5 linked regions of the Mus musculus genome follow. The protein of the gene in region 5 binds, or shares a complex with, the protein of the main gene of each other region. Links are inferred from orthologs where the notes say so. Each region holds a gene or a part of one and is shown on either strand. Other genes may lie near its edges. The genes, in order: Synj2bp, Magi1, Sntg2, Sntg1 and Rps6ka1.

What was found.
Region 1: the proteins of Rps6ka1 (region 5) and Synj2bp are in contact, whole or in part, in a crystal structure (PDB 7P74), measured with the Homo sapiens proteins. The link is inferred for Mus musculus from reciprocal best matches to the Homo sapiens genes RPS6KA1 and SYNJ2BP. Residues at the interface, in NP_002944.2 of Homo sapiens: Pro731, Ser732, Thr733, Thr734, Leu735; in NP_060843.2 of Homo sapiens: Arg18, Gly22, Leu23, Gly24, Phe25, Asn26, Ile27, Val28, Gln33, Ser45, Arg46, His78, Val82, Phe85, Arg86.
Region 2: the proteins of Rps6ka1 (region 5) and Magi1 are in contact, whole or in part, in a crystal structure (PDB 5N7F), measured with the Homo sapiens proteins. The link is inferred for Mus musculus from reciprocal best matches to the Homo sapiens genes RPS6KA1 and MAGI1. Residues at the interface, in NP_002944.2 of Homo sapiens: Pro731, Ser732, Thr733, Thr734, Leu735; in NP_001028229.1 of Homo sapiens: Arg480, Gly481, Phe482, Gly483, Phe484, Thr485, Val486, Val487, Gly488, Asp490, Lys499, Ser500, His532, Val536, Phe539, Gln540.
Region 3: the proteins of Rps6ka1 (region 5) and Sntg2 are in contact, whole or in part, in a crystal structure (PDB 7QQL), measured with the Homo sapiens proteins. The link is inferred for Mus musculus from reciprocal best matches to the Homo sapiens genes RPS6KA1 and SNTG2. Residues at the interface, in NP_002944.2 of Homo sapiens: Pro731, Ser732, Thr733, Thr734, Leu735; in NP_061841.2 of Homo sapiens: Gly82, Gly83, Leu84, Gly85, Leu86, Ser87, Ile88, Lys89, Gly90, His94, Ser101, Lys102, Phe104, His134, Val138, Leu141, Arg142.
Region 4: the proteins of Rps6ka1 (region 5) and Sntg1 are in contact, whole or in part, in a crystal structure (PDB 7PC8), measured with the Homo sapiens proteins. The link is inferred for Mus musculus from reciprocal best matches to the Homo sapiens genes RPS6KA1 and SNTG1. Residues at the interface, in NP_002944.2 of Homo sapiens: Arg728, Lys729, Leu730, Pro731, Thr733, Thr734, Leu735; in NP_001274742.1 of Homo sapiens: Gly67, Phe68, Gly69, Leu70, Ser71, Ile72, Lys73, Gly74, His78, Ile80, Ser85, His118, Glu119, Val122, Leu125, Arg126, Arg141.

The regions. Positions count from the first base shown.
Region 1 is NC_000078.6:81,529,490-81,534,987, reverse strand, and holds the start of Synj2bp (synaptojanin-2-binding protein), read left to right. Parts: upstream 1-2,076; 5' UTR 2,077-2,208; coding exon 2,209-2,272; intron 2,273-5,498. Other genes in the region: Gm20498 (Synj2bp-cox16 protein), read left to right, coding at 2,209-2,272. UniProt on the Homo sapiens protein: Regulates endocytosis of activin type 2 receptor kinases through the Ral/RALBP1-dependent pathway and may be involved in suppression of activin-induced signal transduction.
Region 2 is NC_000072.6:94,280,089-94,285,788, forward strand, and holds the start of Magi1 (membrane-associated guanylate kinase, WW and PDZ domain-containing protein 1), read right to left. Parts: upstream 3,830-5,700; 5' UTR 3,235-3,829; coding exon 2,922-3,234; intron 1-2,921. UniProt on the Homo sapiens protein: Plays a role in coupling actin fibers to cell junctions in endothelial cells, via its interaction with AMOTL2 and CDH5. May regulate acid-induced ASIC3 currents by modulating its expression at the cell surface.
Region 3 is NC_000078.6:30,222,777-30,227,685, forward strand, and holds part of Sntg2 (gamma-2-syntrophin), read right to left. Parts: intron 4,199-4,909; coding exon 3,992-4,198; intron 1-3,991. UniProt on the Homo sapiens protein: Adapter protein that binds to and probably organizes the subcellular localization of a variety of proteins. May link various receptors to the actin cytoskeleton and the dystrophin glycoprotein complex.
Region 4 is NC_000067.6:9,296,655-9,302,363, forward strand, and holds the start of Sntg1 (gamma-1-syntrophin), read right to left. Parts: upstream 3,224-5,709; 5' UTR 1,479-3,223; intron 1-1,478. UniProt on the Homo sapiens protein: Adapter protein that binds to and probably organizes the subcellular localization of a variety of proteins. May link various receptors to the actin cytoskeleton and the dystrophin glycoprotein complex.
Region 5 is NC_000070.6:133,884,317-133,889,809, forward strand, and holds the start of Rps6ka1 (ribosomal protein S6 kinase alpha-1), read right to left. Parts: upstream 3,482-5,493; 5' UTR 3,317-3,481; coding exon 3,254-3,316; intron 1-3,253. UniProt on the Homo sapiens protein: Serine/threonine-protein kinase that acts downstream of ERK (MAPK1/ERK2 and MAPK3/ERK1) signaling and mediates mitogenic and stress-induced activation of the transcription factors CREB1, ETV1/ER81 and NR4A1/NUR77, regulates translation through RPS6 and EIF4B phosphorylation, and mediates cellular proliferation, survival, and differentiation by modulating mTOR signaling and repressing pro-apoptotic function of BAD and DAPK1.

The sequences.
Region 1 (5,498 bases), on a different chromosome or scaffold from region 5:
ATGTACAGATTCAGTGCAATCCCAGTCTCTCAAAGTCCACCCCCACAGTGACACACTTCTTATAACAAAGCCACACCTCATAATAGTGCCACTCCCTAGGCCAAGCATAAAACATCACAGATGAGGATTAGAAAACAAAGCACTCAAAAGATAGTAAGGGACAATAAAAAGCATGGCTATGTGTTCATTGCTTTTAAAGTAGTTATCTATGAGGTTTACGTGGAGTTTGAAGTCACTGTCTTACTAGTAGATGGTTGTGGAGGGGCACCTGACAGGTACAGTTGACAGAGTTGAGGTGTAGTTCTACAAATAAAGGAAGGTAGGACATGTTACACGTGGTTTAAGATTCTCAGGCAATTTCTAGAGAAAGGAATGAAGTTCCTGTCCACCTAGAGCCATACACATTGAGGTTTTAGGCTTAGGACATTGACAATTTTATATACATTATCTATGCAGGGAAGAAATATTAAGTCTATGTCAGCAGCCTTTACAGCAAATGCTGCTCAATGTGCTAGAATGCTTGCTCAGTTGGCAAGAGTTTTTTTTTTTTTTTAAATGGGTAATTTTTTCCTTCCTTCCTTCCTTCCTTCCTTCCTTCCTTCCTTCCTTCCTTCCTTCCTTCCTACCTTTTCTTTCTTAATATGTAAGTACACTGTAGCTGACTTCAGACACTCCAGAAAAGGGTATCAGATCTTGTTACAGATGGTTGTGAGCCACCATATGGTTGCTGGGATTTGAACTCATGACCTTTGGAAGAGCCGTCAGTGCTCTTACCTGCTGAGCTATCTCAGCAGCCCGGCAAGAGATTTTAATCAGACCTGGAGATGACAGGATCCTTCTCCCCTCATGCCTCAGGTTCCCTGCCTTCTTGTCCTGTCTCATTCCTATAGAATCCACCTCTGACTTGTTTTAATAAACCTGAGTTGCTGGCTTGGCTTTTAGCCATAACTTTGAATACCATAGTCTGATTATGCAGTCTTTGATTCTCTTAACACCACAGGAGTCCCTTGAGTCACCATACATATTTATGGTCACCTTCCTGGTCCTTAAGGCCTTTGTAGTTTTGATACCTGAAAGTTTCTTCACCTCTGTTTGGAATGTCCGATCTTAAAAGTCAAGATGGGCTGGAAAGTCACATCTTAAGTCTTGCAATCATTTTGTGAAAAGGACATTTCACCTCCTTTTGCTTGGAGGATTTTTCTTGAACAAGCCTATGATTATCTTTCCTCTGTATATGTGTACACATTTCTTAAGTTAGATAGGCCTATTATTAAATGCAAGCCAGGGATATATACATCTATTTAAAAGTTAAGTAAGAGTCTTGTCAGGTCTAAGTTAAGAAATCTTGTGCATAAGGCCCTGGAAAACAATGCTCTCAGATGTAAATATCAGGGAAATCCTCACTTCCTGTCATGTGTGTCAGCCCAGGTGCCTTGCTTTAAGCAGTGAACACTTGCTTGATGAGAGAGAGAGAGAGAGAGAGAGGGGGGGGAGGGGGAGGGGGAAGGGGAGGGGGAGGGAAAGGGAGTGGGGAGGAGGAGGAGGGGAGGGGGAGAAGGAGAGATGGGGGGAGGTTTCATTTTTTTATTTGGATACATTTTATTAACTAACACGGGGACTGCTAACGAAGGAACTTGAAGCAGTGTTACCAAGTTTTCTTACATGGGGCATCACATTGGATTTCATCTGTATTGCACAAAAGGTTACAATTTCCCACCCAAGTATGCAATCTCATTAGTACTTTGCCTATGATGCCTTTCATAGAGTGGTTTGAGGCTCATAAAAGATCTCTCTCACACACACACACACACACACACACACACACACACACACACACACACATTTGTAGATATTTTGAGATTTTTATTTAAAATGTCAAACGTATCAATGTAATTCTATCTCATACCATTATTACCCTCTCTCCTTCCCCATGCTCTTCCAGTGTAAGCGAGCATTATACCTCTCTTTGCTCATGGCTCCTCAGGATCGGCCTTGAGAACAGTGCGAGGTACCGGAAAACGCTGGTGGGCTCAGAGAACCACCACTCCCAGCATCCTCCACGTTCCCAGTGCCCGCGGTTTCCTTTTCCGGTCTGACCGCTGAGGAAACTGTAAAAGCTATGCTGGGGAGGCAGCGCGGAGCTTGATTCACCTTCACCTGCTCTGGCCACCCGCTGACCCGGGGTTTCCGGCCGGAGAGCAGTCAGATATGAACGGACGGGTGGATTATTTAGTCACGGAGGAAGAGATCAACCTGACGAGAGGACCTTCGGGTAGGCGCGGGACATGGAGGGAGTAATTGCTGCGTCCCTTGCTTTGGCGGAGCCGGGTTTACCTGGCTGGAGAGCAGGCAGGCCCCGACCGAGCGGCTTCCCAGAACGCTATCGGGCACGGAGCAAAGAGTCCATTGGCATCTTTTGTTAGCTAGATAACGGACCCAAGGACTCTGCCCCATAATCCAGTCGGATTACCACAGGCGTTTATGGCCAGGACGGGTTTCTTGCTGTTGGTGGCAATAGCCAAGACCAGGAAAAAGCCCGCTGTTTAGCCAGCGTGTGGGAGCCGCCGTATCCGTTATTCAGTTGCTTGCTCCATCCTTGTTTCTTCGCCGAGGGCCCGTTCAGGTAAAAACAGGAGCAGCGAACGGCGGTGTGTGTGTGTGTGTGTGTGTGTGTGTGTGTGTGTGTGTGTGTGTGTGTGTTTCTGAGTGTCTCACAGTTTCTCCGGTGCTAGGGTCCCTGCCTGCATTTTTGCGGAATCAATTTACCATATCAACTGGAATGCTAAAGCGGGCGGAGACCTTTTACAGAAGTTTTCAGACCTGGCCACACTTGACCACCATTACTTGGGCGTTTTCGTTTTTACTTTTTAGCAAAATATTGAAATGAAAATGTTGTTTTCTAGTCTCACCTTTAGAAATTTGGATTCAGTGTGGATCAAACAATTCTTGAAACAAACACTTCATGTGATTCTGACAGGAAAATTCCCATTTAGCGTTGCTGTGTGGTCTTCCTCATGGATGCTCATAGCTGGATTACTACATCGTGTCACTGCCTTCCTTAGGCTTTGCAGTTTTCTTTATGGCCTTAACATTTTAGGTTTAGGGTTCACCACTTAGAGCCAAGATTTTTTGTTTTTGTTTTTTGTTTTAAATCTAACATCTTACCAGTTTTTTGTTGTTGTTGCTTTTTTTTTTTTGGCTTGTTTTAATGTATTGGCAGAATAACTTAACTGATGGATTCTTGTAGTTTCTTTTCTGTAACATGGAGACAGTTATGAAATGAAGCGTTTCACATATAGTGTTAGGATGAAGCCACTTGCTCTCTGGAAAATATTTAGGACAATGTCTTGATATATGGTAAGCAGTGTGTATTTGTTACTGTTGTCATTAGTGAGTGAATGGCTAAACTGACTCCAGTAAGTTCTGTTAGATACTGTATTCCAAGAGTTGAATAAATCATTGGTTACTGTGAATTTCTATTCTGATGGCCACTACTTAGCATAGTCTGTTAACTTTCCTTATCTATAAGTTTGCAATAGCTTAATCACTGCTGACTATTCTGTGTAAAGCACAGCTTTCAGAACTAATCATATATTTTGTCTTCCTGTTATGAGAAAATTGGAAGTTGATCATATTTATGGGAATAACTCTCTGCTAATCTTTGTGGTTTATACAGAAGCTTTGCTCTGGGTAGTTCTTTGGGGGTGCTGAGGTAACTTGACAGAAGCTAGAGTTAATCTGGGAAGACCCTTAGTTGAGAAAAAACGCCCCCATCAGATTGCTTGTAGGCACTCCTGTTGGCCATTTCTTTTTTTAAAGATTTATTTATGGCCGGGCGTGGTGGCGCACGCCTTTAATCCCAGCACTCGGGAGGCAGAGGTAGGCGGATTTCTGAGTTCGAGGCCAGCCTGGTCTACAGAGTGAGTTCCAGGACAGCCAGGGCTACACAGAGAAACCCTGTCTTGAAAAACCAAAAAAAAAAAAAAAAAAAAAGATTTATTTATTATATGTAAGTACACTGAAGCTGTCTTCAGACACTCCAGAAGAGGGCGCCAGATCTCGTTACGGATGGTTGTGAGCCACCATGTGGTTGCTGGGATTTGAACTCCTGACCTTCGGAAGAGCAGTCGGGTGCTCTTACCCACTGAGCCATCTCACCAGCCCCCTGTTGGCCGTTTCTTAAGTTGATGATGGAGATGGGAGAGCCCAGCTCACTGTGGGCAGTGCTACCATGGGGCAGGTAGGTGGTCCTGGATTGTACGAAAGCAGGCTGAGTAAGTCATTAGGAGCAAGCCAATAAGTAGTGCGGTTTCAGTTTGTGTCTCCAGGCCTGTGTTGACTTCTCTTCATGATGGTCTGTTTAGGATTCAGTAACTCCTTTCATCCCTTCATGCTTGTATCATGGTGTTTTTTTTCATAGCAGTAGAAACCTAAACTAAACTCAGAAACTTTTGCCCAAGGCTTTTCAATATGCCCAAGTTTCTTGAATCTAATTTTCTTATTTTATTTAATTCTTCAATCCAACTTTGAGATTAACGTAGTAGAGATGGATTTTTATTACATTTGTGTGTCTATGTGTTTTTGTTTGTTTGTTTGTTGGGGAAGGGGCCCGTAGAGGTCAGAGGACAACTTTCAGGAGTCAGTTTTCTCCTCCTATCATGTGGGTTCCAGGGATTGAACTCAGGTTGTCAGACTTAATGGCAAATACTTCCTACCCGCTGAGTTATCTCACCCAGCAGTCTCAGATCTGTAAATAAAAGTCTGTTTTTTTTTAATGTGTTTTTTAACCTTTTGCTAATGAACCCATAGGATCAATGAGATACACATTTCTGATTCCCTTTGCAAATGCATTAAGGCATCTAGTTCTTTAACCTAAATAACCTACCATGATACTACTTTTTGTGATGTTTGAGATTGTCTTCTTGCCACATAGCAAGAACCCAATATACTTGGATATAGAGTCTTAGCTGTGGTATCACAGTATTACCAGGTCTTCTGACAAGAGCAGACTTCTGATATTAATCACAGTATTACCAGGTCTTCTGACAAGAGCAGACTTCTGATATTATTCTTGCTTTAAGCATAAAATTTGACATAATATCATTGTTTAAACTTTTGGGCATTTGAATAGGCATTGTCTAATTTCTAAGCATTGAACTTACAGATCTAAAGTTTCTAGTCTTAGTATTTTCCTTCAAAGATTAGAGCAGGGAAAAGCTTCAAAAGACTAAATAAGAGGAATACTTATAGCTAGTTAACATATTTTTACACAAAAGGGTTTATTTTTGAATTGTATAGTTATTTGTTTAAAAATAAAGTTCCATTGAGTGGTTTCTGGACTTTTTATAAAATATTTTAAAATATTAGTCATTGTCATTAGTCAGGATTCTCTAGAGGAATTAAGTCAATAGAATGAATATCTGTATCAAAAGGGAATTTGTTAGATTAGCTTACATGATAAAGTCTGAGAAGTCCAGCAATGGCTATTTGCACAGTGA
Region 2 (5,700 bases), on a different chromosome or scaffold from region 5:
CATCTTTTATGAAGTAAAAGAATTGTTCAAATCTATAGTAAGAGGAACCAACACCCTTGGTTGACAGGGGAGTAACTGGGAAGAATCCTGAAGGGAATATTTAGGTGATGGTAATGTTGTGTATATTTATTTGAGTGTCTGGAAGGAACATGAGAGAGTACACATGCCCAAATTCATTAAAGCAGACACTTGGTATCTGACCTAAACGGATATAACATATATACAAGTATCAAAACATTGCAGTACACTAGACATGGCAGCAGACACCTGCGATCCTCGGACTATCCTGCCTCAAAAACAAAACAAACCCGTAGGTACTGTTTTTATGCTTATATACATATATACGCACACACATATCAGTTTAAAAGTCTAGTTTTTTAAAGATCTGAATTCTGCTATTATTCTGCATATTAAGTATCTGAATTCTGAAAATAATATGCATACACAGATCCAACTAGCATACATACATTTCTAATATTTTTAAGCATGTTATGACCAACAACTGTCCTCTCCACTTAATGTGGGTCTACTAAGTCTCGTTCACAACCCACTCCTATCCATGAGATACTATTTGCTATAGAAACCTGCCATGCAACACAAAGAGTACAATCTTCTACCACAAGAAGACTGTGACATCTCCACGCAGATATGTACCCAGAGTGACTATGTCCCTGTGAGAGCTAACTCAAAATGGAAACACCATAAAAAATATATTTTTCCCAAATACTAGCTCAGTCTACTCGATACAATAAGACACAGTAACAAAAAAAGGTGGAGACAAATATGTCCTATAATTTAAATCATTTTGCAACAGGAAAGTGAGAGGATTGTTGAAATGGTTCCTAGGGTCATCTTCACAGTAACTGTGCCCATGTCATTATCACATGTGACAGTCTTTATAATGTGGTGGATTCCACAGCACTCATAGCCTATTGCAAGGCTGTTCAGAAGCACAAGCCCACTCTCTCCCTTTGTGAGCATTTCTGTTGGCAAAAGACAGCCCTGATCATAGGACACCTGAAGGCACTATAATAACTGTCAAATCCACAGGCATCTCCCACCACCACCACTAAAGTGCACACAGAGGGGTGAGAGAGAGGAAGGGAGAGTGGAGAGGGAGAAGGGGTACTAGCTAGCTCCAGGGTCTCTGCAAAATAGTGGAAGAGCTCAGCTTCTGGAAGCTTCTTGCCCATGGTCAACAAGTCTTAGGACCCATTTACCACCACCCAGACATCCTGCCATCCTGCCGGATGAGAAATCTTTCTGCAAAATGAGCCTGAACTCAAACCCAATGCTGCCCCCCTCCCCCAATAAATAAATGCCTGTCACAGTGTTATCTCAACAGCTCTACCAAGTCATAAACACCCGGGGAACTGGCATTAAATTCCTAGCTAAAAACTGAATTGCTAACTGCTTAAATCCAACTCCAATACAACTCGCTTTTCCTGAGCACTTACTGTGAACCAGCACACTTCCTCGGTTATGATTTTACCAGAAACTCCTAAGGACAGATTCATCAAGCAAGGCCAAGTAGCAGGATATGGACATTCCACTGTTAGGTGTCAGCCTCTGCGCTCCCAACAGGATAGAAAGGCCTGGCTACTAGGCTCCCCGCACACAGTACTGCGCTCATCCTCCGGTCATCTGGAAGCGGCCTGCTGCTGAGAGCGCTGGCTCTCCCCGCTTTCCTTTGACACGTTTCCTTCAGCTGCTGCCATCCTGACAGGAACATATGGCAACTTTTCACCACATTCAACTCTGCCACCTCCTCTGGTGCTTTCATCTGGGAGAACCTGCGTCACAGCACTTGGGTGCAGGAGGGATGCCTCTAAGGACTGCAGCTATGCTCCGGTGGCTAGCTACAGGATCAGACCATTGCTCAGACCAAACTGCGAGGGAGTACTCTCCCACGGCCATCCTTACCCTACAGAAAGCCATCCTTATCCTACAGACTTCTAGGGGAGGATTTGCTTCCCCACCCCCACCCCAAAACTCAGGTCCCGAAAGTCGTCCCCTCAAGCCCTCCTCCTCCTTGCTCAAGGTTTAACAAAAAAAGACCCATACACTTTTGGTAGTTGTGTGACCTTGGGCAAGTCATTTACCTAAGGTCAGACCCGGCTTACTTATTGTAATATAGGACTTACAAAAACCGAGTCGTTCTTATAGCATTGATGTGAATCAGAATGAGATAATGCAATTAAACCACTTTACAGACAGCCTCTCACATAACACGCTAACAATGAATTGTAACTCTCAACAACCATCATCAATAAGGACGACGGTGCAAGAGGAGGAGGTGGCTGGGTAAACTTGGACTAGATTCGCGCCAAGCGCTAATCACCCCTTCCCCCACCGTAGGTCTCCACAAGGAGGAGACACAGACGTCACCCCGCTGTGGGGTGATTGCGGGCTCTGCAGGAGGCTGGATTAAGGACTCCAGTGGGTTATAACCCAGCCCCACCTGGAGGGGTTGCAGGATGAAGGCAAATTCTGTGATGGAAGAATTCCAATCAACCATAAATAGACCCTCTCCTTCCACGACCCACTCTCCAGTTCAGGGAAACAGGCAGTGGCAAGCCACCAGCTCCGTGAGCTCATCCATCCCGTAAGGGGCTGGGGGAAGCGTCCACCTTAGCCTCCCTCAGTTCCCCATCTGCCTTAAGGTGAAGGCGAGGCTGCGCAGCACTAGGTGGCTACGACCTAGAAGTTGGCAAACCAGACCTGGGAAGCATCTCCCCGCTTCCCGGCGCAACCCCGGCCCCAGCCCGCCACGCAGGTGGGCGCACAGCCCACAACCTCACAACTTTGAGTGCATCTGGTCCGGGCCTCAACTTTGGCTCACAGCACTCGGAGCAAACGGCGCCCCCTCAGGCCTCCCCTCTTTTTCGGGGTGCGCCCCCCAAAGGCACGCCCCGTCTTACCTTGTCTGACGGCTTTGAAGGTGACGGCCTCCTTGCAGCTGTCGATGACTCCCAGCACGTCATAGCGGGGCAAGCCGGACACCCGGACCCCCTGCACCTCCAGCAGCAGCTCACCTTCGGCCAGCTTCGGCCCCTCGCCACCGCCGGGAAGCCCCGCCGCCTCGGCCGCCGCCACCGCCCCCACGTACGGAAACTCCCCATGCTCCGCGCCCCCCAGGACCGTCACCCCCAGCTCGCCCTGGGGTCCCCGCTTCACGGTGCACTCGTGAACGCGGCCAGTCCAGTGGTTCTTCTTCTGGATCACTTTCGACATGATGAGTTACAGCCCCTCCTCGAAAACAAAATTCAAATTAAAGAAAAAAAGAAAAAGAAAAGAAAACTGCTAAAACGAGAGACAGGTGCCCCCACAGCACGAGCCCCCGGAGCGGCGGGCTCACGGGAGAAGCATCTCTCGGAGCGCGGGAGCGAGCTACTCGAGCCTCCTCGCCCGACTCTCTCGCGCTCTCAAGCCATCATAAAACAAACTTTCCGGGCTCCGTGAAGAGCCCTGCACGGGCGCCCGCGAGCTTTGTTTGCATTCCGGTGCCTCCGGGTCCGCGTTCCGGCGCCGACCGCGCTCCCGGGACCAGAGTCCACTCCGGCGCCGCCCGGGCCCGCTCTCCGCTCCGCGGCTCTCTCCACACACGCCGCGCCTGCTCCGCGCCGGCCGGCCGCTCCTCAGCGCGAGGGAAGCCCTTTCCAAGCTAGTTGCCGGGAGCCCTGGAGACGCGACGGCGCGGGGCGGGGGTGAGGGGACGCGAGGGAAGTGGCCGCGGCCCCTTTAAGCAGATACAAAGGCTCGGCTTGTTTTGTTACAGTTCATTCTACTCCGCGCGGCGGAGCGCAGCGGCCGGCTGGAGAGGAGACGCGCGCGCATGCGCCCGGCGGCCGCCCGCGGGCAGGCCCGCCCCACCCCTCCTCCTGGAAGGGAGAGATTCCAACGCGCCTCCCGCGGGGTCCTAGGGCCGACCCTTCATTGACGCCAACTTGCTCCTCTCCCTGCACCCCTAGAATTCCTCCTCTTGCAGTGTGGTCGGCTCAGCCAGAGCCTTTTGGGGGAACACGTGTGCTTGCCCGACTCCAGCTCTCGAACTTTTGGAACACAGAGAATTTGGCTTTGGTGTTTGCAAATCGTTTCAAACAGGTGGGGGCTGGGAGACCAATTCAGCGCGGGGCTCACACTCTTGCTGCCTACCCGGGTCCCTCCTCGTCCTCCGCTAGTGCCTGGCCACGCCATCGCTCACGCGCCTTCCGCCACATTTCCGCGCCTGCTCCCCGCCCAGGGGTTCAAGTCCACATGCGGAGCCTGGCTCTTGTCTCTGTGACCCTGAGGACCCGAATCAACAAGACCCACACACCCTCTGCATCCCTGTCCGCGCCCACCAAACGCACCTACACATACGCTCCCATCGTTAAACTTTGGGGCCAACTTTTTAGGACAAGGAAAAAACTGCCAGCGAGCGAGAAAAGCCAAAGCTAGCGTGGCCTTTTTACCTAAGACTTCTCGCTGGCCTCTCATTGTCCTTCCAGCAAAGGGGGCGGCGGTGGCCAGCCCCCTTTGGCTTCTAGGAGAGCCGAGAAACCTAAGCACTGCTTTGGGGAGTAAAGATCACCGCAGGGTGCGGGTCCTGCACAAGCGTGGGCGAGCCGGCCACCTCGGAATTCGCCGCCCAGAGGCGGGGTCCAGTAATCGGGGCACTGGTGAGGCCGGGACAGAAAGAACAGCCCCCACCGCCAAGAAGCCAGTGCAGTGGTGGCCCTAGCGGTTTTGTTTATTTTTCAGTGGTTTCCAATGAGTTCCTCTTTGGTCACGGACTTGAGAATCTACTAGATAAAAGGAGCTGAGTTGGAGCCACTCAGAGAGATGAGGATGTCACTGAGGTGGGTCGAGAGGATAGGTCTGAAGTTCAGATTCCGCAGGCATCTTAAGTACAACATTAAGTGAAGACCTTCCACTTGCCAAGGCTGGAGGAATACAATCACTCCCACCCCCACCCCCACCCCCTCCTCCACCCCCACCCCCACCCCACCCCACCTCACACACAGAGTTGTTAGAAATAATACATAGGCACTGGAAACTTGCAAAGTAAATAATTTATGGTGGCATATAAAATTTCACAGTCTGATAACTGGGGGGGGGGGGGGTGTCAGAGTCCTTAGTGGTTGGGGTTGTAATCCCCTCTCTAGAACATAAGCATACATTTAAGCTCTTCAAGCCCTGTTTCTAGAGAGCTATTCTAAGTTAATAAGAATGAGGGCCTGGCGTTTTACATCTGTAATCCTGGTACTTGTGAGGCTGAGGCATGGGGACCAAGAATTCAAGGCAAAGTCTAGGAGAGGATGGCCTGGGCTCCCTAAGACTGGCTACACACAAAAAACCGTCTTGCTCCTGATTATTTGAAAAGGTGAAAGGAATTTCATGTCTCTGGTGTTTTGTTGTTGTTTTTTTTTTTTTTGGTTTTGTTTTTGGGGGATTGGTTGGTTGTGTTTTCCCCCAAGTGGTGATAGTGGTGTTGGGGGAGGGGGGCTGCTTTTTGGTTTTGTTGGTTTTGGTTTTACTGAGGTCAAATGAGCAGTCCCTTCAAACCTAACTGCCAAACCCTAACAGAGATCTAGCCATCAGCATCTCTAGGATGTTTTAATTTGCTTTTTGTTGCTATAATAAAACACTAACCAAAACCGACTTAGTCAAAAAGGGTCTATTTGAACTTAGAGCTCAGGAATGCACCTTACTGGTTTG
Region 3 (4,909 bases), on a different chromosome or scaffold from region 5:
CATGTTATTGCTTATCTCTATAACTTATACCTTAACATAGGTAGACATGCACAAGTAAACACTGAATATAGGATTCAATACATCCAAGGTTTTGATAACCACCTGGGGGCTTTGGAACACAACCAAAGAGCTTGAAGGCTCGGGAGATGTAAAAACGAAGACATGGCACTGATTTACCACAGGTTCTGAGATGCATGTGCTTTAAAAATCTTTGGGGAGTATGGGATTCCTCTTGTATTCAGATCCCCTTGTCTTTCAGAAAGTCTGCAGTGTCCTGACTGCCTGCTTGGCATCCATGCCCAGGTTCTCTTTTCCCATAGGGCTCTCATAACTGAGATGCTTCTAGCCCCCTCTGCCACTATGCTTCAGGGGAACTAATATCTTCCCTGTTCCTAAAGTGGAGGGTAGTAGCAGAGATCCGTTAGCATATGGTGTTCCCTATACCACTGTATGGTTTGATGAGCTCCTGTTCCAAGCTAGCAGAATCAGTCTGAAGAGACCTGAATTTTATGACTGTTTCCTTGTCCACTAAGCATTCATAAGAAAACGTTTTGCTTCTAAGAGGCAATCTGTTGGGTAGCAAATACATCCAAGTCTGAAGTCTAGCAAAGTGGAGTTACTGGGGCCACCTTTTCTTCTCACTGCTGTTGCAGAACGAGTCCTGTTACTTGTAGCCAATAGCAACCTATTAGACAGATATTTTACACTTTCTGGCTCTATGTTATTATTATAAAAAACAAAATGTGAGAGGAACTGATGTGGGAAAGTGCATAAAAATATTTCAAATTCCAAAGTTATATGCGCAAAGCAATGGGCATATATTTTAATTAAAATATTCTGGCATATATGGCAAGGCAGTTTGAAGGCTATGGCTACAATCTTGGCATTTTCATGGGAATCTGGGAAGTAGTAATGGAGAAAGTGGACCCATGGAAAAGGTTAGATGTTTCTGGGTGACAATGAGACTTTAATAATTTTGGATATCTGTTACATGGATATTATTTAGAACAATATTGATTTAGACTATGTAAGTTGAGGAGACTGGTCAGTGAGAAGTCTCAATTTACTCTTCTGAATCTGATGGTTTTTCTGCACCGTGTCCTGTCCACGTGAGCAAGGTATAGAGGCTTTTGTTTTGGTTTGTTTTGTTTTGTTCTGTTTTGCTTTTTCGAGACAGGGTTTCTCTGTATAGCTCTGGCTGTCCTGGAACTCACTTTGTAGACCAGGCTGGCCCCGAACTCAGAAATCCACCTGCCTCTGCCTCCCAAGTGCTGGGATTAAAGGCATGTACCACCACTGCCCAGCGGTATAGAGGCTCTTATCTGTAGAAATGTACCCTGAGTCCATGAGGCACAAAAGGCACCATTCAGAAGACTTTCTATAGAGGTGACGAATTAGCTAATGCATGCAGGAAAATGAGCCCACAGCTGCCACCAGGAAGAAGAATGAATGATATCAACATTGCATCATGTATATCACCTACACTTAACATAGTGAATCTTGGGTTGGCACAAGATCCAAGGCAATACACATAAAGCTGGAGAAAGAAGAAAAACCAGAGATGGGACATGCATGAAATAAATGTAGCTTTGTTAACCATCAAAGGAGACTGGCACTTACTGTGTTTTATATATACTACTTATGAGGTCCCTCCTATAATTTCATTCTGTATCTAGGGAGGCGGTATGTCTTATTAGAACAGGGCATATAGCATAGGAACTCTCAGACTACACCACTATAATTTAATTTCTAGGTTGCTGTGAAAAATCCATAGAGTCCTTATGTGCAGAGAAGCAGAAAGGAAATCAATGTTGCCTTCTCTGCACATTTAAAAGTTAAGTGTGGTGTGTGGAATGCAGGAGGCCTGGCATAAAGTATGTATGGGCTTCTAGGGTAGTTTGTGATGCATCTATGTTAGAATGCATTGTTTTCAGGAATCATGCTATAACTTGGAGAATGACTGATCAAGACACTGAAAGGGGAAGAGGATGTCTAGAGTTGAGCTTGCCTGAAAATCGGAAAAGCATCCAACCCTTCTCCTGTCTACCTGTTTCTCAGAGGGAATACAGAAATTCGGGGACGGTAAGTCACTTCCGGGGTAGGTCATTGTTGAAAATGCCTTCAGGGTCTTTCCTAAGTTTCTAGAACAGAGTATTAAGTTATAATGGAGCCTTCAGACTCTCCAAAGTTCCTGGGTCATCTTCATTCCTTTCCTTACCAACTGTGAAAGACCTGCACAAGCTCAGTAATTGATGCTGACAGTGTTTTCTTCAGAATTTGCCTCCTTTCTTTCAACCTTAATCTCCTCTCCCCTCCCCTCCCCTCCTCTTCCCTCCCCTCCCCTCTCCTCTCCTCCCCTCCCCTCCCCTCCCCTCTCCCCTCTTCTCTCTCTTCCTCTCCCTCTCCCTCCCCCTTCCCCTCCCCCCCTCTCCTTCCTTGTCTGAACACTGTTAACCGCTGGAGAATAGATGTCGCGGCTGTGATGGTTCCAGTTCCTTAGTTACCTTTATCCTCCTTTAGAGAATGACACTTCTGAACATACATAAGGACTTACTATCCGTTGTGAGGGGAAGGTCTCCTTTCTAACAACACTACAGACACAAATATCTATCGGACTGAATAACTCACAGTGCCCACAAGCTTCCCTCCAGCACCAAGTTCCATGATTGAGCTTCCTCTTATTCTCAGCATATCTCCTGATTGTCTGTCCCTGGTCCTCAGGAAGATTGTATTCACCTGACAATGCTGTCCCAGGTCCCTGGACTGAGGCTCTGTAGAGCAGTGGCCAGATGGGTACCATCCATGTGTCTCCAAAGCAGAATCTGTGCTATTGTTGTCAGAGCAAAGTAGCCCCAAAGTCCCCTCCCTACAAGGGACATCTCAAAGTTGCCTTCTGGTGGCAAGGGCTATCTGTGTAGATTATTTCTAGGTAGGTACAAGATATCACATCTAATAAGTGCTTGAGGAAGGAGACCTCAATGCTGTGGACTTTCCCTCCAATGTCATACTCTATAAAAAGTGAGACACCAGGTTGGTGCCTTAGCTCTAAGATGCTATTGAGGATCAGGAACCAATTCCCCCACGCCATGAATGATGGCCTCAGGGGAAAATCTCAGTTTCTATGGACATCTGGATGTTAGGACATTTAGTGATCTAAGAGATGCCACGTGTAATGAATGATCAGGGCTGATCCATGCTCAGTAATGGTTTGGCACAGCCCAGAGCCCATGTGCAGGTTGGCAGCCAAATGACAGGTAAATAAACAGAATCTTTTCATGCTGGAAATGAAGCAATTGCTTTTTGTTTCTGTGATCACTCTCTCAGTGTTATCACCAGACTAGTCATGAACCCAGTACCTTGGCAAGGAGACAGACCTTGTCTGATGCATTGCTTCATTTATTTTCTGTCATTCTCTAGCAGGAAACATCCTATGAAGAGGCCCATATTTACGACAACAGAAACCATAATGCCTCCTTCCTTATCTGCTCAGTGGACACACATTTAAATTCGTGGATGATTTATTTGCTGTCTTCAAGAACAGAGAAGCAATTCAGACACATTGCTGTATCACATTCTCCTTTGGGCCATTAAATATGAGAGGATAAGCCATTAAGTGTCTTAAAATATTGCACATGCAGGTGATACAGAGCAGGTTATAGCTGTCTCCAAGCCTACTGCTCTGCAGCGTGCAAACTCCTCCCACGGCAGTCTGTGAGTTCTGCAGTGGAAGGAGATTCAGCCCTTTCCTCACAGTAAATATGAATGCAGATATGAACCAAGATGCAAGAGCCTGTGACAGACAGCTCTCCTTATTAATGGAGGCCCTGCTCAGCACGGATGACTGCTCCGACATGGTGACTTAGATGAAAGCCATTCACCTCTCACAGTTCTCTTTCCTGAAATAAATCCTTATTTACACTCCATCCCCAAGGTGTCAGATATTGCCCCAAAGCTGATAGTGAGAAGAGTGTGAGTCCCACAACATACTCACCCCGGTTCTCTGAACTTCCATGAAAGTTGCTCTTTGGAATGCCTTCTCCCACACGGCCAGCTCACTGCCCAGCTCTACACTGAAGATGTGGCTCTTCCCATGGTTGGCCAGGACGCTGAAGCAGTATGACCTGGGGTCTTCACAGTCAAAATCTTGGAGACCAAGATACAGGTTTGCCTGCAGCCAATAGTTATCTGAAAGCCAGAACTGAAAACCAAAAACAAAACCCAAAACAGTATATATTGGAAATAGGTCAGGAATGGAGGGTTGAGTCCAGACTACAGAACTCAACCCAACCCACTCTTTGAGAAAAGGGTTGCATTTGACTGCTCTGGTAGAGGTAGCCTCTTCCTCACAACCACCAAATGGGGCAAGTGCTTTAAAAATGTTTTCAGAACAATAGCCAAAGCAATAAAATACGGAGGAAAGCACTGGACACAGCCTGATGATCCATCATAGACTCACCCGGCTGGCCACACCTAATAACAGGCAGCCGTATCCTTGGAATGTGTCTCTGATGTGCTTGTTTAGGACACGGCTCCATTGAGATTCTGCATGTCAAGGTCATCTATAGGGACCTGAATGTCACCAGTTGTCCCTACTTCCAGATGAGGGGTATAAGCAGGCAACAGGGACTACTAAAGGAGGCTTCTGGAACAGTCTGTCCCACCCCCAGTACAGATAATAGTGACCCACAAAAATATTGTATATAAGGTATGCCCAGGCATTGATCATTGGAGGCTAGCCATTCCTCAAAGAACTCTGATAACTACTTTTTAAATGTTATCATGAAGATAAAAACCTTAGAGACTCTTGTTTAGCATAAACCTAACAAGCTGAGAAAAGCATATGGGAAGTTCTTGCCTACACTGGCTCTTCAGAGGGGCTGGCCCTGGTGTTTCTAAGGAGAAGCTCAAG
Region 4 (5,709 bases), on a different chromosome or scaffold from region 5:
TCTAGTCACATGCTGTAACTCTGCTAAAATATGATTCCATCTTCCATGTGGCAATCTGCTTCCACATTTCTTAAACTAGAAAAAGAAACAAATTCTGGGCTCCACGGCAATTAGTGCAGATTTTCTAGTCCTCCAAAGATCACTTCTGACCTATCTAGGGCAAACATGCCTCCAAGGAGATGCTGCTCTCTGTGAGGCAGGCAGCTTCGTGGTGAGTGACAGTTAAAAATGACAGTTCCTCAGAGTAGAATTGTTACTCTTGGTCACTATATAACAGGCAGCCATGAGTCTACCAACAAGTACCACCCTGGCTCAGGAGATTGGGCATTCAAAGAAAGAAAGTGAGAGTTACTGTATGTGATGTAAAGGTATTTTATTTTCAGCTATACATGGTTTATAAAATTTAAAAAAAAATTCTTCCAAACTCCTGCAGTTTTTCAAGAGACAAACTCTTTCCACAGACTTGGCTAAGCATATGCCATCACGACTATGAGACTCATTACTGTGAGTCAAAGCTCTCCGTTGAGCAGAATGCAATCGCTGGAATTGAATGAGTTCTTTCTGAAATGCCAGCCATGGACTACACATTTGTATAACTGCTTTTTACACAGAAAACCCCTTTCATTAAAGCCCAATGCTTATCAAGGTCATTGTGGAAGCTGTAATTTTAAAGCTCTAAAGGAAGAGTCTAGAAAGAAGTATCAAGAAAGAATTATCACGTTAAGTATCAAGAAAAATTAATTATCATGTTAAGGTTTATGGTCTATTAGTAACTGATTAGTCTCTATCACTTGATTTCAGAAACAAATAGGTTTTGTAGAACTAATCAGTCAGAATACTGAAGGAACCCTACTCTCTTACAGACGCACAAGGAAGCTGCTCACTTCCTGCCTTGAGATATCTGTTGATAAGTCTAAGGTCTAGCTACACTTGGGGACTCTGATTACAAAAGGGATCAGATATTGATGCGTACATATTTTGTGCCTTAAACATTTTAACAAAATATAACCATTTAGAATATTACAAGAGGTGATTGAGCCATTTCCAACTTTTTGATATATTTAAATTTCAAATATATATTTCAGATGCAATATAACACAACCAGAGTCGCTTTTAGCTAAATATGTATGATCGCCAAACACCAGTGCACATTAGTTTTAAAGAAAACAATAAGATACACAGAGATCCCCAAAGCTATTAGTTAAGCAAGAAGAAAATGTCCAAGTAAAAGTTTGCTATACTAATGTAAGCCAACTACATATTGTTGTCACCTCTGTCAAGAGATTCCAGAAAAGTAAAATTCCAGACTAATTTATCAAGGAAGAGATTTTCTAAGATACTAATCTAGGAATTATTACTTTTAAACAACCAGAAGTACTCATTTTCCTTAATTCTCAGCATCTTTGTATCTTTTCTGTTAAACCTTGCAAAGTCATTAGTGTGTGGTGAAACACAGATGTAATAGTATTATCACATACCTGCTGAGCAGAGGAATTGACGTCTTCTCAGCTTCTTTAATGTTGGGGTTTTAGTATCTCTGACCTCTCACAAAGCTGTCTCCACAACAGCTGCAATCCACTCAGGGACGTTCTTATTTTAAAAACTCTGGGCCTTTGAGAATTTCAATTCCTACTGCAACGCCCATGGTTCTTTGGTGCTTCTAAGAACTTCAACTCCACTCTTCTGCCTGCATTCCCCGGAGTCCTGTATAGAAATTTTTCTTGAAGTTGCTGCCTAGAGTTTAACTAGGTTGATATGAGTGGTAGAGGATGAGGAGGGCTGGTTTTCGTCCATCAAGGAAGGGGACCAGAGGCACCGCCTTTTAGCTGCTAAGAGCTCTTGTAGATGACTGTGGCCAGGAGGACAGCAGCAGAGGCAGCAGCAGCAACACAGTTGGGTCTCCCAGGCAGCCACGCAGCTGGGAGACGCTGTCCATCCCTTCCGGTGCTGAAGCGAGGGGAACCAGGACCCCTTAGTCTACTCCAGACCCTATACTCCTGCTAAGGCCTCTTCCAGACTTCTAGCTTTGCCGTTTCTCCGCCGTGTTTCATTTCTTGGGGATTAATGGTCTCTCCATCTTGATACCCTTATGTGTATACGCTGGCAACGTTTCCGGAGAGGCAGAAATCCGTGGGAAACAAATGCTGAGCCTCTTCTAAGTTCACAGCGGCTCTGAGTAGGTTTCCTAATGGTAGAAATGAAAAAAGAACGCACGAACACGGGCGCGCGCACAAGCGCGCACAGGGACGGGGGACAGAGAGAAAGAGACAGGGGAGAGAAGGGGGAGGAGGAGAGAAGCTGAGCACTGTGGAGACTGTAGAGGTGCTTTTGGGAAGCTCGTGGGTCCTTAATTACATAAGATGAGAAGGGCTATTTTGGAGGTCCCCCTGCGATCTTGCTTCCTAACCAGGGCGCGGACACGTTCACATTTTCGGAGCTCTAGATGGAATTCCGAGATGACAGAGTAAGGATGCTCAGTTCCCAGATACACAGACAGACTCTTGTCAGAAAATGCAGAAACCGTGAAAGGGCCAGGAAAAGGCTAGGGATACCTTTGTTTCCGAGAGGCTGTATCGCCGCGAAGAGCTTAGCCGTGGCCGGGAGCCCCAGACAGGGACAGCAGGGACAGGGAGGTTGGGTTCCAGCTCCCGCCCTCCCACCGCCTACAGCCCGGGTTCCCGCAGGGGCGGGGGCGTGTCGCCGCACAAAAGACTGGATGAGGGTAGTGGATCAGGTAGGCAGGGCTGTTATCCCTAAAAGGCTCCAGCAAGGCCTAGGCACCGGACCGAGACGTCCCCCGGGTTACTTAGCTCCGCGGTCAGGCTTCTGGTGGCTTCCAGTAGAGAAGCTTGCGGTGGAATTGGACGCGGGTTCGAGAAGGTGGCCCTGTAGGAGGCCGCCGAGGTTCCGCCGCCCACACAAGGCAACTGGTGCAGGCACGAATGGAGTGAGATGGGGGAACTGAAATACACAGAGTGAGAATGGGGCAATCTGCTTAACACGGCGTCTTTGCGGAGCTCTGAGTGACTGTGGTAAGGCTGAAGAGCGCCCCACAAACGCCAACCTGGGTAAGCGCCCAGCTCCAGCTGAAGAACTTGTGCAGCGCAGACTTGTGCACCCGGAGTTTGTTCCGACCGAGGGGGGCGTGCAGGCTTAGCGCAGGGACAACGCGTGGGCACGCAGTGCTGCTGGGTGCTCGCTCCTATCCACCTCCGGCTGCACTGGGAAAGTCGTGGAGTGATTGCACGAGCGTCTCCCGCTGGGTTTCCGCGCCCCTATGGCCGGAGCTGCGGCGCCCGCATTTTACGCAGTTCACTGGGCTGTAGGGTGGATGCGGGAGGCGACAGCACCGCCAAAGGCCTGGCGACTGCCCTGGGGGAAACTAAGGAGTTCTGGAGAAGTGCACTGAGCATCCTTCCTCCAGCACGAACCCTCCTTTCCCTGGTCTGGGGCCATTCCTTGCATTAGCTGCACCCCCTGGCTCGCGCTAGAAGAGGCCCCCAGTAAGTGTCGCCCTCGTTTCGGGATGCTTTGTGGAGCTACCCCTCACAGAAAAAGCTCAAGGGACCAGGCTCGCATCCACTTTCTCCACATCTGAATTTTGGAGTCCAAAGGTTGCCTAGTTGATGATGCGCTTCAGCACTCTGAGATAACACTACATAAGATGCAATTTAGCACTAGGAGCTAATTTTAAAAGAGCTGCTTTGTTTTCCGGTTCCTGGAGAAATAAATTCTCCAGTATTATTGTAAATTACGTTTCCCACTTCGTTCTACCAATGCAAACATGTGTTTCTGTTATCCATGCAAACAAATACGTCTTTCTCCAAATAAGTTAAAGTAGTTGCCCTATTTTTGGTTAGAGAATGAAAATGGCTTGTTTAAAGGCTGTGTTTGCCTGTTGTGGCCAACCCCTGAAAATAAATGGGTTTTCTTTGCTGTTTTGCATGCTTGTTTCAATTGATTCACGTAATTGTTTGAATCATTTTCTTTGTACATGTAGAAACATGAATCATACAGGAAATTAGCACAGCAAATAAAAGCCTTTAAGTGAAGCACCGAGATGTTGCTAATTGAAAACATATGCGCTTCATTATCCAACCACAGGGAGAGATTTCCCTTTGTAGAGCACAGATTCATGCTAATAACAGAGCCTCCCTCTCCATCCTCCCCTCCTCCCTCTCTCCTGCCACCCTCTCTTGCCACCAAGAAAAAAGAAAGGGTTGATTAATTTGAACTGTCAGACTAGCTGATTATGACAGTTTGATGTCTTTTTTTGTGAAGAAACAAACCTGTAGCACATTCCTCCTAGTCAACCTGTTCAAAGCATTGTGGGACAAAGATGATGAAGTGTATCACCGGATGCTACAAATGTATATAAATGAAGTGTAAATAAATAAAGTATAAATAAAACAGGGACAGATAGTCTGAGGTGAACTGAAGAGCTATTTTAAGTAAATTTTCTGTTGGATAAGATTTGTCCAAAAAATCATTTAAATCACTTTTATTCTTAAAGGTTACTTTTATTTTCTAAATGTTCTTATATAGAATGTATAAATAGAATACAGAAGGTAAGTTAGCACAACAACCTATGAAAAACAGGCAGTGACCAGAGTCCTCAACTGACCTAGTCAACACTCAATATAAAAAATTAGGTAGTGTTCAATTTAAAGTTTCAGTGCCTTCAGTTGAATTCTACTCTGTTTCTTTTTATTGTATCAAATACAACTAAAAATACCTATAGGCAAGTATGTCTGAAATGAAACAACTATCTTGATGTGTTCTGAGGACTTCCTAACGAAGTGGTGCTAGGGGGCACAGTCTTTGCTCATTTTCTGTGTAAGAACTGGTCGGGGGGGGGTGACTTTAATCAGCTCAGCTATTCTTTGTTGAAGATATTCTTTGTTGAGGCTTCATGTGTGCTTGGGGCTTCATGTGTGCTTGTGCTTGTAGCACTGAGCACAATTGGTTTCAGATAAAGGCAGATGCCTCACATTGACTAAGTACAAAACTCAGTCCAGTTTGCTTCTTGTTTGTGGATAGAATGGAGCAGAAGAAAAGTAGTCACCTAAACAGCCACTAGCAACATCCATGAGATCCCATCCCACACCACTTTGTTTTTATGTTTTCTCTTAAGTGATTCTGATGGCTGACTCACTTGAGAAAGAATTTTCTTTTCTGCCACTTAGAAAAGTTGCTTAAACTGTTTAGTTTGTTTCTTCATTTAGTTTTATTGTTGTTGGTGTATGGTGAGTAAGTTAACTAAAAGCCTCGTGTGAACTGAGACACTCCAGACAAGAAAGCTGACTTGACCAATATCACCCACTGAAGCCTCAGGTAAGGAGATCCACACATCAAACCTGCTAGCACCCGCCTCTAAGACTGCAGGGGAACTGACCTGCACAGGTACTCTTCCACCTCCAAATTCCCCCTCATTTCATCCTATAAAACTCCAAGACCCCCAACACCACACACACACACACACACACACACACACACACACACACACTACCACATGCCCCCTCCCTACTTCCAAAGAGAGCCTCCATCTCTTAAGTGTTTTGGACTAGATGAACAATTCTGCTTCTGGCTATCACTATCTGCCATCTTATATTTCCATGACACCTCCATCATACCTGATCTAATAGGATGTATTCGTGTGTGTGTGTGTGTGTGTGTGTGTGTGTGTGTGTGTGTGTGTGTGCAAGTACA
Region 5 (5,493 bases):
AAAGCCACCGGCACAAGTGGCTCTGAGTGAGAGCTGTCACATCCCTTTTCAGCGTCTTGGTTTCTTCCTCTGCCCCATGTCTCCATGTCTATCATGTCAGGAGCTGCACTCTATGACCTAGGAGACTGAAAGAAGTCTGTCTAAAAAGCCTAAGGGGTGCTGGAGAGATGACTCAATGGTAAATGGCACTTGTTGCTCTTCCAGAGGACATGAGTTCAAATCCCGGCACCCATGTTGAACAGCTCATAACTGCCTGTAACTGAAGCTTGGAGGGGTGGTGGGGATCCAATGCCCTCTTCTGGCCCCTGGGGAAACTGACTTTTAAAAAGGCCTAGGGGGAGATTTAACTCAGAGGTAGAGTACCTGCGTAGTACACATAAGGCCCTGGTTGGATGGAAGGAGGGAGGGGAGGGAAGGCGAGGAAAAAGGAAGGGAGAGACAAATGACATGAAGACCAGACCCTGGAACCAGGGAGAAAAGCCTGAGACAGGGAAGTCCCCCTGGCCTCTTGGAGCACTCTATTCTCCTCTCTTGTTCAGGAGGACAGCTCATGAAGATGGACATCTGCTCAGAACCCCTAGTGCCCTGTACCCCTTCCAGGAGTTAGAGTCGGGTCCTAACAGACATGTTGCTTTCTACCTAAGGGTCCAGAGCAGCTTCTGGAAAAGCTGGGAGCAGAACAGATGGGGAAAGACAGCACGTGCCCTGCAGGCAGGAAGCAGCCCCAGGAACTGGGTTCTGAGCCCAGCCCTGGCAGCCCTGTTGCACTGTTGGAGCCTGGGGGCCAAGTGCCAGGACACTGCTAGCCCTCAGCCAAGGCTGGACAAAGGCCCTGAGGCCTGAGAAGTGTGTGCCAACATCCGGAGCTGCTCTCTGCCTACCTGCCACCTGTGCCAGTTGAAACCCACCCCACACTCATCTTTGAGTCTCTCTTGCTTGGAGGGAAACAGTGACAGCACTGGGTTCTAGTCCTGATATTAATGCACACGCCAGCATCCCTGAGTCCTGCCTTCCCATTTGAAAATGGGAGGGGGGGTCATCTTTTTTAAAGTTGCATGACATCAATAAGTAGCAGCTGGAGACAAAGCTCTGCTGCTTTCAGCAGAACCAAAAAAAGCCCAGGTAACATCCTCACCCCTACGTCCAGTTGGTTTAGTCCACCTGGGCCCTGCCTGCCAGCAGCCCACTTCTGGTGACAGCAATGGGAAGACAGGGCAATTCAGATCCCAGACCTCTTCTGCCAAATGCCCTTGCCAGCCCCCTTACCTGCCTTCTTCCTGGCCACAATGGCGCCAGTACCTGCAGGCTAGGCACTGTATCACTTACGTGTCATCTGCACGAAGAACAGCAGGGCCCTGTTCTCAAGTGAGCATGCACACCCTCACTGCCCCACAGCTCTGGTTACCCAAACAATAACACCCAGTCCACAGGCACCTCCATGGCCTGGGGGAGGGGACCCAGGCAGCAGGACCCAGGGTTTTGCACCTTGTCAGGCCCAGGAAGTAGAGCTAGAAACTCATCTGTGGTGCTGGAAGGAGAGGCCCAGACAGCTTGAAGATGGACTTAGGGCCACACAACATTTCTGAAGTGAAACTCAATGAAAAAACTCCTCTCCCCCATCCCAGGAAATGTGACAGTCTCCCCTCGCCTGAATTCAGGTGCAACAGTATTCAAACTAAGATGTTTCCGGTTTAACCTGGCCCCCATGAGGCTGCCTCTGGCCTCAGGATTTCCCAAAGGGAAGCAGGAAGTGCTGCCCTGGAGGAGGCCAGCACTCCTAGAACTCTACTCTCCGCGCTAGGGTAAAGCTGTGAGTCCCTAGGCTGAGTCCCTCCCTAGCCATACCGAGGTCAGGCCTCCCTTCCTCTGGAGGCCCAGGTGGCAGGGGCGTGCCCAAGCCAAGGAGTACACCTCTGAGCCTTCCCTGGGGCCTTGTGCCCCAGTCCTGGGGAGTGTGGGGGGAGCACCAGGGGCTGCAGAGAGCAGTGCTCCTCACCTAGGAGGGTGAGTCAGCCAGACAGCCTCTGAGCGCCTGTGTAGGGCCTGTAAAACCCCCGTGGCAAGGATCCCAGAACAATTTACTCCAAATTGCGCCTTCAGGTTGGTTACCTAATCCAGCCGCGCCCACCCTCCAATAGCCAGTGTAGCCCATCCCTTTAAAGGGGCAGCATGCCCTGAGTGCCTGGAGACTTGGGGATCTCACTGTGGATCCTCTCTCTGCCCGTGGTCCTGAGAGACAGGGCTCACAGTGACTGACCTGAGGTACCAAGCATAGGTAAAGGGGTTCAAGCCAGGAGAAAAAGCATCTAGGTTCTGGGATCAAGTGAGGTCTCCTGTACCCCAGCCTCCTGTACCCCAAAACAGCTCCAGTGAAGGAAGGCAGAGTTTCACCTGCCTCCTTCGCAGCAGGAGAGCAGGGAAAGTTTTAAAGTTGCTGGTTCAAAACTTGACCTTGATCCCAGGGTGACAGGACAGCACAGAAGTGGCCTCCTGCATGCTCAGGGTTGGACCACAAAGCCCTCAAAAAAGACAGGAGTTGCTTCTGGGAAAGGCTAGGTGGCAGAAGCCATACTGCCCAAGGGCTCAGCCTTTTTCTACAGGAAAGGAAGGAGGGAGAGAGGAAGACGGAGGCAGAGTCTCTTCTACAGAGACAGTCTTCACAAGATCTAAGGACTTTCCCCACTCTTCAGCATAATCTGAAGTAGGAAGACCCGGTGTCATTAGCTTTAGGGCAAAGGAAAGCAGGCTCCAACTCCAGAGGTGGTATCGTCCCACGTTCCATAACTGCCTGGGATTCAGCAGGGCTACCTTCCTAAGGTCAGAAGTGGAGGAACGAAGAGAGGTCTTGGGGAGAGGTTAAGGTGAGAAACCGGATTCCCATGATCCTTGTCTCTAGTAGAAGCCTAGACATCTGACCCAAGCCTTTCTCCCTTCTGCACTGATTGGGGCAACTCCCACAGCTACTAAAAGATGATAAGCGGGATGGGTCCTAGGTGTCAGATCTCAACACACCGTGGAGATTCCTCTCCTGGCTACTGCAGGGAGGTACTGAGAGCCCAGCAGAACCATCCCCTACACACGCACACCCGGAGCACAAGGGGGTGGAGCCGGACAGTGAGCTAGAGACCGGAGGGCACTCACGTCCCCGCGGGGCTGCAGAGACGCCGCGGGCCGCCCCCGCCCCGCCCCGGTGCGGATCCGGGCTGGCCGGCCGCCGCCGCCTGTCCCCCCAACCCCCGCCCCTCTCACTCACCTCCGGGTCCAGCGGCACCAGCTCCATGAGCGGCCAGGGCTCCTTGAGCTGGGCGAGCGGCATCGCGCCGCTGCCGGACCGCCCGCGCTCCTCCCGGCGGCCCCGGGCAGCGCTGCCTCTGGGCCACGGGGTCCCTGCTGCTACACCGAGACCCCCGCACGCCCCTGAGCCCCTCGCGCTCTGGATGGGCCGTCCGCCGCCGCCGCGGCACTCGCACTTCGGCTCGCTCCGTCACCCGGCGCCGCCGCGCCCATTGGCTACCTGCGCGGGGGCGGGGCCTGAGTAGCCCCGCCCAGTCCCCCCACGGCGCGGCATTCCCGGCGCGGACCCCCGCCCCCAACGCGCCGGGAGTCAGCCTTGCCTTCACGAGAGACCCCAGCCCACTGTCGGCCCTGCCCACCGGAGGCTCCGCGGGTTCCGTTTTCCCGGGCTTTGTGCCGCTTTGCAGACCTCGCTGGGGCCTCCGTTGTCCTGTCCTAGCAGCCTTTGGGATGTTAACCCAGATGTGCCTTCTCCCTCCAGGGGGAGGGGCTGCCACCCCACATTTACATGGGACGTCCTGGGCCTGATCCCGACTGAGGCGTGGAAGGAGCCTGGGCCTTGTGCCCTCTGGCTCTCAGCTCTCCAAGCCCTTAGGATCGCCCCCTTCCGAAAGCTTGTGCACATCACGGGAGCCCACACTTTGGGGTCTCCATGTGATCCCCGGGTCCCAAGCCAGCCAGCGCCAGGACCCACAGCGCCCCCAGGGTGATTTCCTAATACGCATTTTTTTTTCTCCTTCCTAGTCTGTTGTGCCCTATCACTTGAGGGCGCTGGTTTCAGGCCAGGTCCGCGCCTCTTCCGTGGCAGACCAGATTGTGGTCTGACTTGAGCAGGAGTCCCTGGAAAGAAGGCAAAATCCAGTTCTGGTGGGATCAGGATTCTCTCCAGTAAGATTTGGCCTGCTCTTAAGGAGATTTTAGGCCCCAGGTGTCGTGAGACTTACTCTCAGGTGAAAGACAAGCTGGCTCGTTTATTAAAAGCCTCCAGCGAAGACAGGCGTCATTGATAGGGAATTTATTTTTTGTTACGTTTCCTTGCTTGGTTATGGCCATGGAACCCAGGCTTTGCCGGCCAGGTCGTGTTGAGTATCTCCGACCTCCACCTTCAGGCAGCTTGTGATTTTTTTTTTGAGACTCCACCCCATCCTAGTAGACACCCTAAGCTATTTATCCGAAGTCACACAGCAGGTCAGGAGCACACTGGTGTTTAAAAGAGTGTGGGGTGGGTCCGTGGATGGACTCAATGGGTAAAAGAGCTTGCCTTCCCTGAGTCTGATCCCCAGGCCCCATGTGGTGGAAGAGAACCAACTCATAAGCAGTCCTTTGACCTCCACAAATGTGCACAGGGACAACCTTCCCCGATAAAGACATTTTAATGCAGTACATTTTTAAGTGGAGAGAAGTCACTCACGCCTCTAATCCTAGCAGTAGGGAGGCAGAGGCAGGAGGATCTCTGTTCAGGGCTAGCTTGGGCTACTTAGCCAATTCTAGGCCAGCCAGGGCTACACAGTAAGAACCTGTATCAAAACAAAACAAACAAACCCCCCAAACCCCAAAAACCCAACTAAGTAAATAAATAAATGAATAAATAGAAATAAATTTAATCCAGGAGATTCAGGCCAGAGGATTGTGACTTTGAGGCCAGTGTGGACTGCATAATAGAGATGTTGTCTAAAAATCAAAAATTAAATTAAATCAAAAAAGAAATAAAAACAGATGCTGTTTTCCCAGTAAGCATTTATAATCTCACTGCGGAGGCTACTGACACAGGATCTCATTGGTCAGCCAGGCAAGCCAAATAGGTGAGTTCCAGGTTCAAAGAGAGACTCACACAATAAAAAGATAAACCTGTAGCCTAGACATACATGGTCACTCACATGCACATGTTCAGACATCCTCATGCACAGGTACCACAGACACATGCATACATACATGCAGACACATGCACACAGACATGTGCACACATGCATACACTCACATGCACAGACACATGCATACATACATGCAGACACATGCACACAGACATGTGCACACATGCATACACTCACATACACACAGACACATGCATACATACATGCAGACACATGCACACAGACATGTGCACACATGCATACACTCACATACACACAGACACATGCATACATACATGCAGACACATGCACACAGACATGTGCACACATGCATACACTCACATGCACA